3 linked regions of the Rattus norvegicus genome follow. The protein of the gene in region 2 interacts with the protein of the main gene of each other region in a pairwise test. Links are inferred from orthologs where the notes say so. Each region holds a gene or a part of one and is shown on either strand. Other genes may lie near its edges. The genes, in order: Syt6, Kctd9 and Gem.

Region 1 (4,776 bases), on a different chromosome or scaffold from region 2:
AGATGGGAAAGGAGCTGATCATACTCTCCCCGCGTGCATTACCTTTCTCATACAAGTGCAGAAGAAAAGATCTAACGTTGCTTTGCTTGGAGGATCGGATCCTAGATGGAGTCTTTGGGGTGCAAGGAGCAGGCTGGGAGGTGGGAGGTCTGGCACCCTGATGTGAACACCACATTCCTCTAGATATAGAGCTCACCTAAATCCCCAAAGTTCCAGAGCCATTTTCTTGTGGTGTGATCCAGTTCTCTGTCTACCTGCGTCTCTCGTTCTACCTTGGCCCTAGGATTTCTTGGGGGTTGTGACGGATGCAGTAACCATGTGAAGGCTCCCCTGAGCCAGGGTGGGTATACGACTCAATCACACTCTGAAGGCATCTGGTAGCCTGCCTCACTCTCCTCAGCCGTGCTGCTCAGGTTAAAGGAATCCTTCTGGAGTCAGACTGCCAGCATCTCCTGCCTACATGTACTCACAGCACACACACCCCACCCTAAACCACATTTCTTGCCTTGGACAGATAGTAGGGCAGAACTCCAAAGATGTGTGCTGGCCTCCGTATTCTGAGCTGTCAGGCCCAGGGGGAAGACTCTACTGCAGATGGAGCATTTGAGGAAAAGACGGAGCTCAGGAATGGGGGAGGTAGGGAGTGACTGTTTGACTTGAGGGAATTGCTGTCTTGGAAGCATCATGGTGTAGAAAGAGATACACCAGAGGACCCGCGTCTAATGTCAGTCTAATCTGCTCTGAGATTCCCGAAGAGGCAGAGCCAACTTTTATCACTGTCCCACTCTCAAAAGTTCTTTATGTCTAATCTTGGTCTCTTCTACTGCAGTCGTCAATTCATTGATTAAACAGTGTCAGAGACTGCCAGAGAGAGAGCAGCATCCCTAATGACTCCTACAGAAGAGAGGTGGGCCCCACTCACAGAAGGCTAGGTACAGCCTCCCCTATCCTCTCTATCTCCTCCCTCACAGCCTCTATTCCTAACCCAGAATCTCCCTCTATCGTTGACCTTTAACCTCCAATGGAAAAGGCGCTCTGGAATCCGAGGCCACTGGGAGCTCACCCGACCTGCACCTGCTACCGGGTACCACTTCTCTGGTCTCTGGCAACTTGTCCCTGGAGAGGTGCGGGAAGACCACGTATCTGACCTTAACGGCCCCCACCTCTCTCTCCCTCCCCAGCCATATGGAACCACGAAGCGACTCCCATTTAAGCCTAGGCCAAGAGCCACTAGGGTCCCGGTCGGGGTCTCGGTCGAGGACAAGGTGTGGTGAGTCTGCGGAACCCCAGAGAACTCCAACGCCTGGGTCTCTGCAGGATCTCCCCACCCCCAACGCCGCATTCGCTCCGGGCCGCGGGCTGACCCTGGGCCCTTCCTTCCGAGGGGACACGACCCATACTTGCTCTGTCCCGTACCCTCCTAATTGCGGGACAAAGGATCCCGCTGCAGCAGGAGAGCTTGGCGGCAAAGACTGGTGCAGCAGGTACATACCCGGCCGGTCGGCTGCCACGCCGCGGACACTCCCGCGGCTCCCGCCGCCAGGGCGCGACACGCCACCCCTGTTGTCGCGACTCCCGCGAGACGTCGCGGCTGCACGCAGGACCCGTTCCCCGAGGGGCTCGGGCTCAGGACTCACCGGCTCCGGTGAGCTCGACTCGGCTCGGGCTGCCGCCTAGACTTGGCGGCCGCCGGGGCTGCGGCCGGCGCAGGGTCCGTGCGGCCGGGGCAGGAGGTTCCCGCCTGGCAAAGTCGGTGAGAGGCACCGGCTCAGTTGAACACCGGCCCGGAGTCCGAGTGAGTCAGAGAGAGACCGAGGAAGCGAGTTATAGGGGTGCCTGGGGGTGGGGGGTACGCCACGACACTCTTCCCACCCCGCCCCCCGCCCCCCGGCGAGACGCAGACAGCCACTCGCTGCTGAGAGACCTGGACACAAAGACCGCGTGCCAGCTGCAGACGCAAGTTTTTCCCATGCCCAGTGGTTCGACCAGCCGTCACCCAGTCACTGATGGTCCCTAGACCCTGGGCCGCCCCCACCCCCACCCCGGGAACACAGGCTTTCCTCCGTGCCCAGGACGTCTCCATTTCTCCCCGACCCTGGCCAATCGCTCCTGGGATGAGCCTAGAGACACAAGGGAAACTGAGGCCCCAAGGATGCCGCATCTCGGGGCTCTCGTAATTAGTGACCCGGGAGGAGAAGGGTCCTCTTGGGATCTCTCCCTGCGGGCGGTAAGCCAGGGGACTGGCCCAGACTGGAACTCTGAGCTAGACTTCTGAGGTTCTGGGGCGCTTGGGCAGGTGTCTTGGTCAGGGGAGGCCACCCAGATGAAAACCCAGGAGTGGAGGGGGCCCTGGGTCTCCCGGTACCTGAGTCGGCCGCGCTTGGACTCTGCTCCGGGGGCTGCAGCTCGAAGCTCTGACAAGTCTCCACGTCCAGCCCGAGAGGGGGCGGCCGGGCCCGGCACAGAGAGGCCAGGACCGCGAGCGCCGCCTGGCACCGAGGCCCTCCGGCCCCCCAAACTCCGCTCATGCCCCGGATCCTCAGGGCTGCGGAGCAGTGACTCGAACTCTAGCCGCGGCCGGACTGGGGCGGGGCAAGGAGGCCCCCAAAAGACCCTCCCCGCGGCGGCCCCCTGAGGCTCGGCTCTGCTTTTAATCACTTCCCCGCAGGGTCCCCGCCCCTCACGTGGCATCCCGCGGCAGCTGGCAAGTCTGGCGCCTCACGGCCGCCCCCTCCACACTCAGGGACTTGCCTAAGTCCAGGCAGGTTCCAACCCCGCTGTCCCACACCTTGCAGTATCAATGCCAGTGGTGCCATCACTGAGGGTGTGACCTTGGGCCTTTCTGGGGCTCAGTTTTCCTTTTCGTAAAGGAGGTGTAATGATTACTGGTGCTCTGTGAGCTTCCTCGGAATACATAGGTAGTGCTTGTGAAAACCTTGGGGAAACTGCCACATGCCACCCAAGTGGGCATCACAATAACAACATGAAAAGGGGCGGCCCGACTGTACGGCGGGAGGACCTTGTAAAGATAGTTGACTGGAGAAGTTAGCCAGACTTTCCGGATCTCGGCTTCGGAGATATAAGACCCCAAGACCGCGGAGCAAGGGGAACTGTAAAGAAGACTTTCAGAGCCCCACAATCTTGCGGTCCGAGGCACCCTCACGTTGCTATGGTGACTGGAGGCAGCGGCCGTCTCTCTCCATGGCAACTGGAGGAGAAAGTTTCTGGCGAATAGGAGTGGGGAGCATTTCAGAAAGGGGTTCGGTTCCCACCAAACCCACCTCCATGCATCAGACCAAACCCAGAATAATTTATTTTTCTATGAGGCATATATAACAAGAGTCAAAAAGAAGGAAAACTAAATAGGAGGCTAGACTGTAAAAGGAGCTTCCCTCAATAACTGTGAAGTGAGACTCAGAAGCAGGGTGACTGTTAGTTTCGCGATGCTTCAACCAGGCCTGGAAATCTAGGAGCCATTGCTAACTGCCAGGAGAATGAGCCCTGTCCTATCAGAGGAAACTCCCACCCTCCACCTACCATCATTGTGTCGCCTTCCCGAAGTAGGATCTGGGAAAGAAACTTCAGCCTGAGTCCCTACATCTGCAGCTACCGAGCTGGAGTGTGCAAGTGAAAGTGGTCTGGGAGAAGGGTCTTTCCTCCCAATGCACGCTAATCCGAGGTACCCTCAGAAGTGACTCAAGTTCCGAAGAGAGGAGATTCGGAGCGGCAGCTCCAGGCGATCACCATTCGCACCATCTGTACCAGCCTAATCCACTGGCCCTTATTGTTGCAAGCCCGAGACAGCCAGTGTCCAGGGTAGTAAGGGAAAGGTCTCACTCAACCTGAGGGACCTCTGGCCTGGGCTCGGAGGCTTTCGGGCTCCTGACCAGCGCGTGTCCCTGTCCGCGGTGCTGAAGGTTCGGTTGGTACAATCAGCTCGTGCGCACTGTGTTAGGGGATAATGGGGACGGGCTATTAAAGCCGGTTCACAGCTTCCACCCGGGTCCCTAGAGCCTGCCATAGGGAAGTGTGGGATCTCGAGCGGGAAGGATTGAAGAAGGCTTGATCCACGACCCTGTATAATCTGGACCACCTTCCAGCCAGTGGTGCTGGGTTGCTATTCCAACAACAGGTAAACTTCTGCCTCTCCACTTGCCTTCCACCCACCTGAGGAACCCAGAAGCCCGAAATCCTCCCCTCTAGCGCCAATGTAGATCTCAGCCGGAGGAGAGATCGGAGTTCCGAGGCCCCAGGCAACACTCTCATTAGCAGCTTCCCAAGCGGGGGTTTTGTGTTTATGTAAAACACAAATGAGGAGCTGCTCTCTGCTGGTGTTTATGGCAACTCTCACTCCGCAGCGGTTTCTCCCTCCCCCTCTCGAGTTCCTGGGGACATTCACAGAACAAAGCGCCTTGTTTTGCCCTTGCAGAGAATGAAAAAACACGGGACCACCTTTCCAAGGGCCCAGACCTGCGATGCAGGGAAATCAATATTTTGCTTACACCGAGTGGGGGAATTTACCTCTCCACGGAAGGCAAAGGAGCCGATTCGGAGCAGAGCAGGTGGCGGGAGCTGAGAATTAACAGATAATTTCTCATTGTTCCCGAATCCAACCTCCACACTCGGCAGGCAGCTCTGCGTCTCTGGCATTTCTCAACCTAACAGAGCGAAAGAGGTTCTGCCCTGACAGGGATGCAGGAAGAAGCCTGAGCTCCAGGCTCCTAGAACATTCGGAGTGCCAGAGAGTAACTGCGGGAAAGAGACAGAGACAATGAC
Region 2 (4,776 bases):
GGAACAGAGCTTCCATATAAGTTAGGACTGGTGAGACACACTGCTCATATTTTTTCAAAATTCTTTTTACTCTGGGATAAGCTACTTCACCTTCAGCATGCCATCCTGAATTTTGCTCACACAGCTATGTACACAAAAATGGATCTAGTCTTTAATGTGATAATTCGGAGCAATGCAGAATGAGTGTCACTTTGGCTTTGCCTAGTTCATGCCTTACACAGTATCACGGTGTGATTGGCTCCCCCAGTGTCTCATTATCCTTCTTTATAATCACTGTTCTAGAACCCAAAGGACTCTCTTCCTATATTTCCTTTGACATTGGGAATTTCATTCCTGAGGTTGAAGAAAACCAATATCTGGGTCTTTCTGTTTGGGATTTTTGAACGAGGCACAAAGCCTTGTCCCTTTTAACTTTCTTAACTGCCTTTCAACTTCCTCTGATTTTGAAATACACTGGTGGGCACAAAGCACAACTGATTCAGAAACTGTGTCATATTGGAAGCCCTAGGACTTTTTGATCCCTGCTATATTTGCTGAAAAGTCTCCCCAAACAAGCAAGTCTGCATGGTCAGTATAAATACACACAGAAAGAGTCAGACAGTATAACATGTATAATTCAGGACTACTAGAGTTATTGTTAAACTTGAAAAACTATACAAGAGCTTCTCTTACCTGAAGGGGTCTTAACAAAGCTTTCAGGTGTAATTCCCAACTGCTCTACGGTTACTGTGGAGAAGTCCAAAGGTGACTTAAAGGTATCAGGGGTGCAAAGATTAGGAGTCATGTCTGCTGCATGCTTCTGAGGGGTCACAAGCGGCCCGGTACCCAAGATAAAAAAGTCATTTTCTGAAAACGGAAAACACGTTGGAGGGTTAAACAATACATTAAAACACTCAAACCTTCCACTTAACGAGGGCAACAGGTCACCACATACCAGAATTATGACGGACACACTCCTTGGATTCAGAGAGAGGCTTGTTGTGTGAACTCGTATCCATCTGGAAGATGAGGAAGTTAAAGAATAAAATGTAAAAAATCTCACTACAAGCCAAAAAGAATGCGACGGAACTCTAACGCAATTAATACCACGGGAATACAAGCTGGAACGTTCTGATTAAAGAAACGGCGGGAGGTAGTATTGACTAAACAAAGCGGACCGAAATGATTTGTCCCGGCTTTGCATCCCTGAACCCCGGACGCATAGCAAGCCTACCTCTCCCGCCCGGGCCCCGCGCGTTCCCTCAGACGACTACGACAAGCGTCGCGGAGGCTCCGTTTCAGAGAGCACCAGAGGCCCGGGAAGAACCGGGAGGGCTTCCTGCAGGTCGCTGCACACCTGGACACACCACGTCCGGAGGAGGCGATCAAGCTCCGCTTGCCCGCCAGCAAATTCAAACCGCGGCCACGCCCCCGCGGAGGGATCTTGCGGAACGGTGGCCCACGTGTGTGTGCATCCCGCTCCCTCCAGACCTTACTCTCGTGCTCTCGGACGGAGCAGGGAGACTCTGTGTGTTCCGGAAGAATCACAGACAGCCATGAAATGACCCTGGAGAGACGAAGCTGAGGCAAAAAGGTGTACTGGGGACTACCGGTGAGTTCCGCGGAGCAATACTTCAGTTGCGAACAAATCCCGCCTCTAACCTTGGATTGGCTGCTGGAAACTTCGAAAATGAATCACCTGACCAATCGTGACAGAACCGCCGGATAGTTTACTCTATTAGCCAATCCAGATACCAACCGTTACCTCGGTGGGTGGGTGTAGTAGGAGGAGCTAAAGCCCAGCGAGGAGTTGACTGGTATATGGGACTTTGGCGTCCCGCCTCTTCCTTCTCTTTATGCAAATAAGCACTCCTACACTCCGACGTGCGCCTGCTCAGTAACGCTTAGAGCGGCCCTTTGCCAGTAGCTTCTGTTCTGATTCGCAGATACTCCTTTCCGTCAACCAGCTTTCAGCCTCTCTTTCCTTTCACCGCCGTCTAGTATTACTCTGAGCCCACCCTCCAACCGAACGCTGATTGGCTTAATGCTGGCCAGTGCGGTCCGTTGATTGGCGCAGGTCAGTGTCAATCTGGGCGCGCGGTTGGGGGAAGGGCCGCTAGCAGGCTGAGGAGCCTAGGGGCGGGGTGGGAAGGAGGATCGGCCAACCCTGGGGTGTGGGACAGAGGGTGCGTGCGTGAGGAGTGTGGGGCCGACCAGGAAGGTGGCGAAGGGCGGAGAGTCCGGGTGGGAGGCGGGAGGGGTCTCGCGGGCGCGGAGCGCGGCGGGTGGCGGGCCGGGAGAGAGGGTGGCGGCTCCCTCAGGACCCGGCGCGGGCGGAGCGATGCGGCGGGTCACGCTGTTCTTGAACGGCAGCCCGAGGAACGGCAAGGTAAGCGGCAGCGGGGGCGCGACCCGGGGACCCCCGCAGCCTCCGACAGCCCCGGGCAGCTCGGCCACCGGAGCTCCGAGGCGCCGCTGTCACCTGAGCAGCTGGCCGAGGTCCCCTCCCATCTTCCCGCTGCGCCCTCCAGTCCTTATCCGTGCTGAGTAATGCTCAGCCTGGGGAGGAGGCAGTGATCACAGAGGCGAGTGACCCTGGCCAGGTCGGGAGAAGGAAACTCCAGGGGACAGTCGAGTGACATCCTCAGAATGAGGACCTGGTCTGGACCGCTTTCCTCATCTCTCAGGGTGCCCCGGGCCCCTTGCCCCACCACTGTGCAAACTTTTATACACGTTTTATTGTGTCGCCTTGTTTTGGTTCCTTAAAGGATGATGACAGCAGACTTTCGGAATGACTTGATTTGACAGTAGCCTTAGCTGCATTTAGGCCTCCGTGGAGGGCGTGGTGCTAAATATTTTTCCGATGTTGCAGCTGCCTCTTGCCCCACCCTTGAAAGTTATTCTTTGGAAAATATTGGCTGTTTCTGGCGGACTAGTAATGTGTGGTTAAATGATTGCCCCACACATTAACTAAGCCTGTTTAAAGTCTCAAAAATAATGAACCTTTTTAAAGTTTCAGTTCAAGGTACATCGGCCAGAGTACTCTGATTCCCCTACGTATACACAGCAGAACTATTCAAAGGCATTAAAGTTGGGGGTTGGGGGGGGCGGAGTTTTTCAACCATTCTGCAGTTTTGAATAAACAGATTCTGGAAATCTGATCCACAGTGGGGTTTGTGCTCTGATTTTAGTTTCCTAAAAGATTTGATATTCACACAAAAATAGTGTTCACATTAGCTCAACAGTGCTTCAGAAATACATGCTGAAAAGCTGTCAGTTCTGATCGTTAACTCTTCCTTAACCAACTCTGGAGTTGGCTAGTAGTCTGTGTCGTTTTTTATTGAAAGATTTAGTGTTGCCAGTTGTATTGATATGCACTTTCACCAGTGTCAACTCTGTTGTGTGACTCCATGAAGTCAAAGCGATTAGGGTTCCTATAAGTCTTCAGCTCTTCTCTAAATCTCTTCTGAATTCACAGAATGCTATTGTCCAAAAATTAAGGGAGTTGCTCTTGGTGTATTTTTAAATTTTTTTAAAACTTCTAAAAAGTTAAAACTTTGACTATGAGTTTCCAGGTTAGTATTATTTACTTGAAAAATGTTGAGACTCAGAAGATTGGAGAAAGTGCATCTCAAATGATTATGGGTACTTATGGTTTACAATGATCCTAAGATTGAAATAAAAAATATTAACATTTAATATTTAAATGCTAATATCCTAAGCTATAGAATATGTTCCAAAGCTATTTCCTGTCCTTTCAGCTGATGGGAAAATATTAAAATGACTCTTATTTGAAAAGATCACAATACATACATACCACCTGCATTTATGTATGTGGCTATTTAGTGAAATCATAGTCACTGTATTTAGTCAGGATTGTTGTAAACTTGATGTGGATGCACATTAAAATGTTCCCAAAGGAAGTGCTACTCTGAAATAGTTTGCTTTCCTGTTTGTAAGGTAGAATATATCATTTAGATTGTCTCCTTGCTTACCTGGTGTCTATTTTTAATCCCCTAGTCATGAGAATTTTGTTTGACTGCATCTCCTTCTTACAGCTTGCTTTGTGGCTATTAGGCCATGCATGGGCTGTGATGTAGAAAGGCACAGTTTCTTCACCAGGCATCAAGATATCAACATGCATTTTTGATTTGTGTAACTGAATAGTGCTTTTTTTTTTCTTTTTTCTTTTTTTCAGAGCTGGGGACCGAACCCAAGGTCTTGCGCAAGACCACTGAGCTAAATCCCCAACCCCTGAATAGTGCTTTTAATGTTGATGAAACAGCCAATTTTTTTCTAAGTGAAAAGAAGTACATGGAAGATATAAGATGATCCTTGGGGGTTTAGGAAGGGGTGCATGTTATTTATATTTTTATTTGAAAACAAAATAATTTAAAAAAAACCTTGCTTTTTCTAATCTGGAAAAGCATGGGAGCCTCTACTTCCTGAACCTGTCAAGCTGGTCTTGTTTTCTTCCAGAACACAGGTCTTCATATGTAAATAGACTGGTAGCCAACAGTTCATTTACCAGTTGGTTCTCTTTGACATAGGATGTATAGAAGCCTATAAGTACATTACAGAGATTTACATCACACAGTATTAATGGGATTAGCCATCAGCTAAGTGCCAAGTGACTTTAAAACCTAAAAGAATCTGCAGATTGAAACCAGTATTAATTAGCAAGCACAGTAAACATTGGGAAAGTAGCAAAACTGGCTGCTTTTCCTAGCATCAGCTGTAAAGTTAAAAAACTAAAAGGCTCTCAGAAGCCAAAGAGTGCCATGTTTTAAGAAACTC
Region 3 (4,676 bases), on a different chromosome or scaffold from region 2:
TCAGGCCCAAGAGCCAAAGAGACATAAATTGTTATGAAAGTTAGTTCCGAAGGATGGAACTAAAAACAGAAAACCCCAGAGTAGGCATGGGATTAGTGCACAGGGTTGATGGGAAATCCTCTTGCAAATATCCCAAGACATCTTGTTTTTCCAGATGGCGCTCCTCTGGCCTGTGGATGTTGTCATCCATCACTTACAGCCAATCAAGGCTTGAGTTCAGAGGGGAGTTTCCATTACTTTCTATATAACAATGGCACATTCCTAGCACCCAGGAGGCAGCTTCTAGGCCAGCCTGATTGTGTCCTGAGTTCTAGGCTGGCCAGGGCTACTAGCAAGAATCCATTTCAACACAACAAAGGAAATGGGGCGGAGAGTTAAAGAAAATAATGGTCCAGTTAGGGACCACCTCAAAATATTTTTTCTTGTGCTTCTGCAAAGAGGAGAAACATCACTGAGCTCAGAGTTTATGAAGTTTCCAGTGTGTGTTCAGGCCTGCCCCACCCCCAACTGGAACACAGTGGAGCTCCCATAAAGATTATGGAAATAGGGCTTATAGTTAAAACATCCCATAATGCAGCTTATGGTTAATGCTTTCTCATAGCTTCAGCCGTTGAACTGGAGTCAAAAGGTCTTAGGGAGTTTATTTATCCTTATAAATGGCTTTCCTCCATAAAAGGCCCAAGAATGATGAAAATGATTCCCTTTTAACTCGAGCTATTGAGCCTTCCACAAGAGCTGTGGGAAGTCTGCTTAGTGACTGGAGGACTGCGTGCTGCATATTGAAGGGGAACAATTGTGTGTGTGTGTGTGTGTGTGTGTGTGTGTGTGTGTGTGTGTGTGTGTGTATACACAGAGAGACTAGAGGTCACTGAACCATGTTCCCAGCTCTTTGAAGTTGATTCTGTCTCTATCTAACCCCACCTCTGTAGGTGTGTATGTATACGCTCATGTGGGGGCACATATGTGTGGATATGTGTGCATGTGCATTTGGGTTCTAGATGTCAGTCTTGGGTATTGTTCTTCCATAGACATGAGTCTTGTTTTGGGAGACAGAGACTGTCGGCTAGGCTGGGCTGTCATTGAACCTTAGGGATCTATCTGCCTGTTTCTCCCTCCCCAAAACAAGGATTTCCAGTTGCCTTCCACAATGCGTGGCTTTTCACATGGATTCTTGAGGACTGAACTCAGGTTCTTGTGCTTGTACTAAGCACTCACTGACCGAGCTGCATCCCTAGTCTCCTGGAGTATAAATTCTAGAGTAAAGTCAACAGGAACCTCTCATGCCGAATTATCTCTTATCCACCGGACTGATATCAAATCTCTCTTTTCTAGAAGATACATATGAGCGTACCCTGGTCGTTGATGGAGAGAGTGCAACCATTATCCTACTGGACATGTGGGAAAATAAGGTATGCAGAGCCTGTAGCTGTCTGTGCATTCCTTTAGGGCTTGCCTTTCAACAGGCTGCTTGGTGCCAGAGTGACCTTGTCCTACATAGTAGATGTTCCAGACAAGGAGGGCTCATTTCCTTGATTGAAAGCATTTACTTCTGAAGAACGAGACTGTGCTGGGGAACAGGTCGTTCACAGATGAACCCTGAAGAACAAACAAATTGCAGTGGTTTTTTCCCCCGAGTTCTATTAAAAACCACAAGAGGCATATTTGTTTTAGGGAAAGTTCAAACAAGCATGGCCACTTATTTTCAATGACACAGAACCACCTTGTGAAAAGTTGGCTTTCTCAATCCTGGATTCCAACATGGCTTTTGACAGGTTTTGGGTCTCCCAGCAAATATGAAAGATCATTGTTTATTGAGAACCTTCCTATTCCCACAAAAATATTCTTAATTAGGAGGACTCCAGGGAGTCAGAAAAGGCTGGTTCTTGGCGACTTAGATTGGGATTGGGAATACTGTTTGTCAAAGTACTTTTGTATTATATCAGCCCAAGCTGTAGTAGTAACTGGAAAGTAAGCTGTTTGCTATAAAAACAGTACAGACTGCCTTTCTTTGCATCTCTAGGCATCCTGGAAGGCCAATGCCTTTTGGGGTGTTGGAAGCAGTTTTCTTGTTTTCTCTTACTTGGGATAGACATACGATTTCTTTGCAATATGGCACCTCAACTTTTAGGCTAGCCCGAGTTCATGGAAGGTCTTTTTATTTGATTAGGGGGAGAATGAATGGCTCCACGACCACTGCATGCAGGTCGGGGACGCCTACCTGATCGTCTACTCCATCACAGACCGGGCGAGCTTTGAGAAGGCGTCTGAGCTGAGGATCCAGCTCCGCAGGGCCCGGCAGACAGAAGACATTCCTATAATTTTGGTTGGCAACAAAAGCGACTTAGTGCGGTGTCGAGAAGTGTCTGTGTCAGGTGAGAGGGTGTGTGATATGGGGTCCACCCCTGCACAGCACACATCGGCCCACTAGCAGGTTCTCTTCCTCATCCCCTGCAAGGCTGCAACCAGGGCCTCAGTGGGGTGCTCCGTGAAGCTTAATGTGTATTGGCTAAGACTCTCATGGTTCTCATTGTTTGTATCAGTCATGTGTTGTTCTCTGTATCCTCTGGGTATCCTGAAGGTCCAGGGTACCCAATCCCCCTTAGGTGTACTCCCGGAATTACTTTAGAGAGGAGAGCATCCTCAGGAATTTCCTGACAGTTTTAGCCTTTGCTCATCCTCCTGTTCTCCAAGCAGATCCCAAGTTCAGGGGAGGAAAAGCCATATCTGAATGCAAGGAGAGGAACTCTGGATTAGGAGACTCAGAAGAGAGAGTTTCCAGAGAAACAGCTGTTGGCATTCCATTTAATACTCTCTAACGCCGCCCACTACTTTGTAAACTTCTGTGAGGACATCGGACTGACGGGACCACACATGCTTCTTGGTCCTTAGTTCAAGTATAATTTCTATTTGATGAGTAGGCCTCCATATTCTTTTTTTTGGGGGGGGGGCTTCGAGATTGTATTGGGTCAGTGTAGATTTAGTACAACTGTAAAAAAAGTAAAATATGGCATTTTCAGTCTCTACTCAGTCAAGGCACTGTTCCCAACTGGTGGGAATGTCTTACTAGGACGCAACAGTGTTCAGGGTTCACATCTTTTCAAACTAAAACACGGACATGTGGACATTAAACACCATGGAGTATCTGAAATTGAGAGTGTTAGAAAAGCTTGGACAGTTCGATGTAGCTGTATTATATTTTTACACAATCATTTTCCCTAAAAATATATCATTTAATCACATTTTTCAAAAGATAGGAAAGCTACATAGTAGAGTTAGAATCACAGTTTTTAGGGACGGAAACTGAATCAGGAGAAAGTGTATAGGAAGCAGGGCTGAGTTTCCTGTCCTTGTTGGCTGTATGAGTTCTTTCATTTTTTTTTTAAACACACACTCAGTTTCTTCCTCTATCTGGTAAGAATGAGGGTATGATTTTCAAGACTGTTATGAGCAGTGAAAAGTGTTTGGAAAGAGCTTAGCCTGGGTTTTGATGGAACTGGACTTTCACATCGTGAGTTTGTGGTGAGCCGGTTCTAGCCGGCTTCCTGGAATCCTCTTATGGGCTATTTCTATTCAGACCCAGGAGGGTGCATGCTGTTGTGCGTCCTTCTACCTGTAATGTAGCCTACTGCCCCATGCTACCCCTAGGACAGTTTTCGAGCGGTGGTCTCCAGCGTGGCCATACCCTATGACCCTTGACTCACTTCTCTCCCTTTCCTTTCTAGAAGGGAGAGCTTGTGCCGTGGTGTTCGACTGCAAATTCATCGAGACCTCTGCAGCCGTGCAGCACAACGTGAAGGAACTGTTTGAGGGCATTGTGCGGCAGGTCCGTCTGCGTCGGGACAGCAAGGAAAAGAACGAGAGGAGGCTGGCCTACCAGAAGAGGCGGGAGAGTATCCCCAGGAAAGCCAGACGCTTCTGGGGCAAAATTGTAGCCAAAAACAACAAGAACATGGCTTTCAAGCTCAAGTCAAAATCCTGCCATGACCTGTCTGTGCTCTAGGCACCCAGTGTCGTCCAGATGTCCCCTTGATGGACGTCGTTGAAGGCTTTTGGGACCAGTGATCTATATTAGATTGGATACAGAAGCATTGTTAAGACGCGGCTTCCCCTACTACAGATGGGAACCAAGAGGTTAGCCTCATGGGCAACCAAGTGCATGGGTGGCGAAAGATCTCTGTCGAGAGTCAGTATTTATTTGTAGGAAAAGCTTGACCTGCTATGCTAGATGGATGCCCCAGACTCACTTAAGGGCACGTTTGGGGTTCACACGAGTTTTTCTCTCCTTTGGGCAGCAGAATATTGAATCTTGTGAAGAATGCCTAGGACAGAAGTGTTTCATCATTGAAGTTTTGCTCAGTGTTCTGTGTGAATCTGAGGTCCTTGGGTCATAAAGAAATGTAGGAAAATGGTGTTTATTGGAAGGAGAAGGGCTCTCTGCAAACTTATACTCCTGGAACTGCAGCTGCGGAACTGGCCTCCTTGCAGTTTTTACTGCTCTATCGAACTGTGGAGAGAATTGTTAGAATTTGCTAGAAACTGAGGCTTACTGACAGTTTTTGTTTAAAGACCACAGAGATTCCTAGACTTAGACGCTGATATGCGTGTACCACTTATAGGTTCAAAAAATTGTTTACTTATGTGTCTTAGAAGTGTTTATTTTGAGGAAACTATTTTTT

Evidence for each region.
Region 1: the proteins of Kctd9 (region 2) and Syt6 interact in binary tests that used the Homo sapiens proteins (3 or more experiments, as listed by UniProt). The two-hybrid records come from large-scale screens. The link is inferred for Rattus norvegicus from reciprocal best matches to the Homo sapiens genes KCTD9 and SYT6.
Region 3: the proteins of Kctd9 (region 2) and Gem interact in binary tests that used the Homo sapiens proteins (3 or more experiments, as listed by UniProt). The two-hybrid records come from large-scale screens. The link is inferred for Rattus norvegicus from reciprocal best matches to the Homo sapiens genes KCTD9 and GEM.

What each region holds. Positions count from the first base shown.
Region 1 is NC_086020.1:193,779,375-193,784,150, reverse strand, and holds the start of Syt6 (synaptotagmin-6), read right to left. Parts: upstream 2,676-4,776; 5' UTR 2,529-2,675; coding exon 2,366-2,528; intron 2,001-2,365; exon of another isoform or gene 1,493-2,000; intron 1,389-1,492; exon of another isoform or gene 1-1,388.
Region 2 is NC_086033.1:46,115,642-46,120,417, forward strand, and holds the start of Kctd9 (BTB/POZ domain-containing protein KCTD9), read left to right. Parts: upstream 1-2,245; 5' UTR 2,246-2,320; coding exon 2,321-2,368; intron 2,369-2,633; exon of another isoform or gene 2,634-4,776. Other genes in the region: Cdca2 (cell division cycle-associated protein 2), read right to left, coding at 673-846, 935-998. UniProt on the Homo sapiens protein: Substrate-specific adapter of a BCR (BTB-CUL3-RBX1) E3 ubiquitin-protein ligase complex, which mediates the ubiquitination of target proteins, leading to their degradation by the proteasome.
Region 3 is NC_086023.1:30,017,496-30,022,171, forward strand, and holds part of Gem (GTP-binding protein GEM), read left to right. Parts: intron 1-1,332; coding exon 1,333-1,409; intron 1,410-2,167; coding exon 2,168-2,372; intron 2,373-3,722; coding exon 3,723-4,000; 3' UTR 4,001-4,676. UniProt on the Homo sapiens protein: Could be a regulatory protein, possibly participating in receptor-mediated signal transduction at the plasma membrane. Has guanine nucleotide-binding activity but undetectable intrinsic GTPase activity.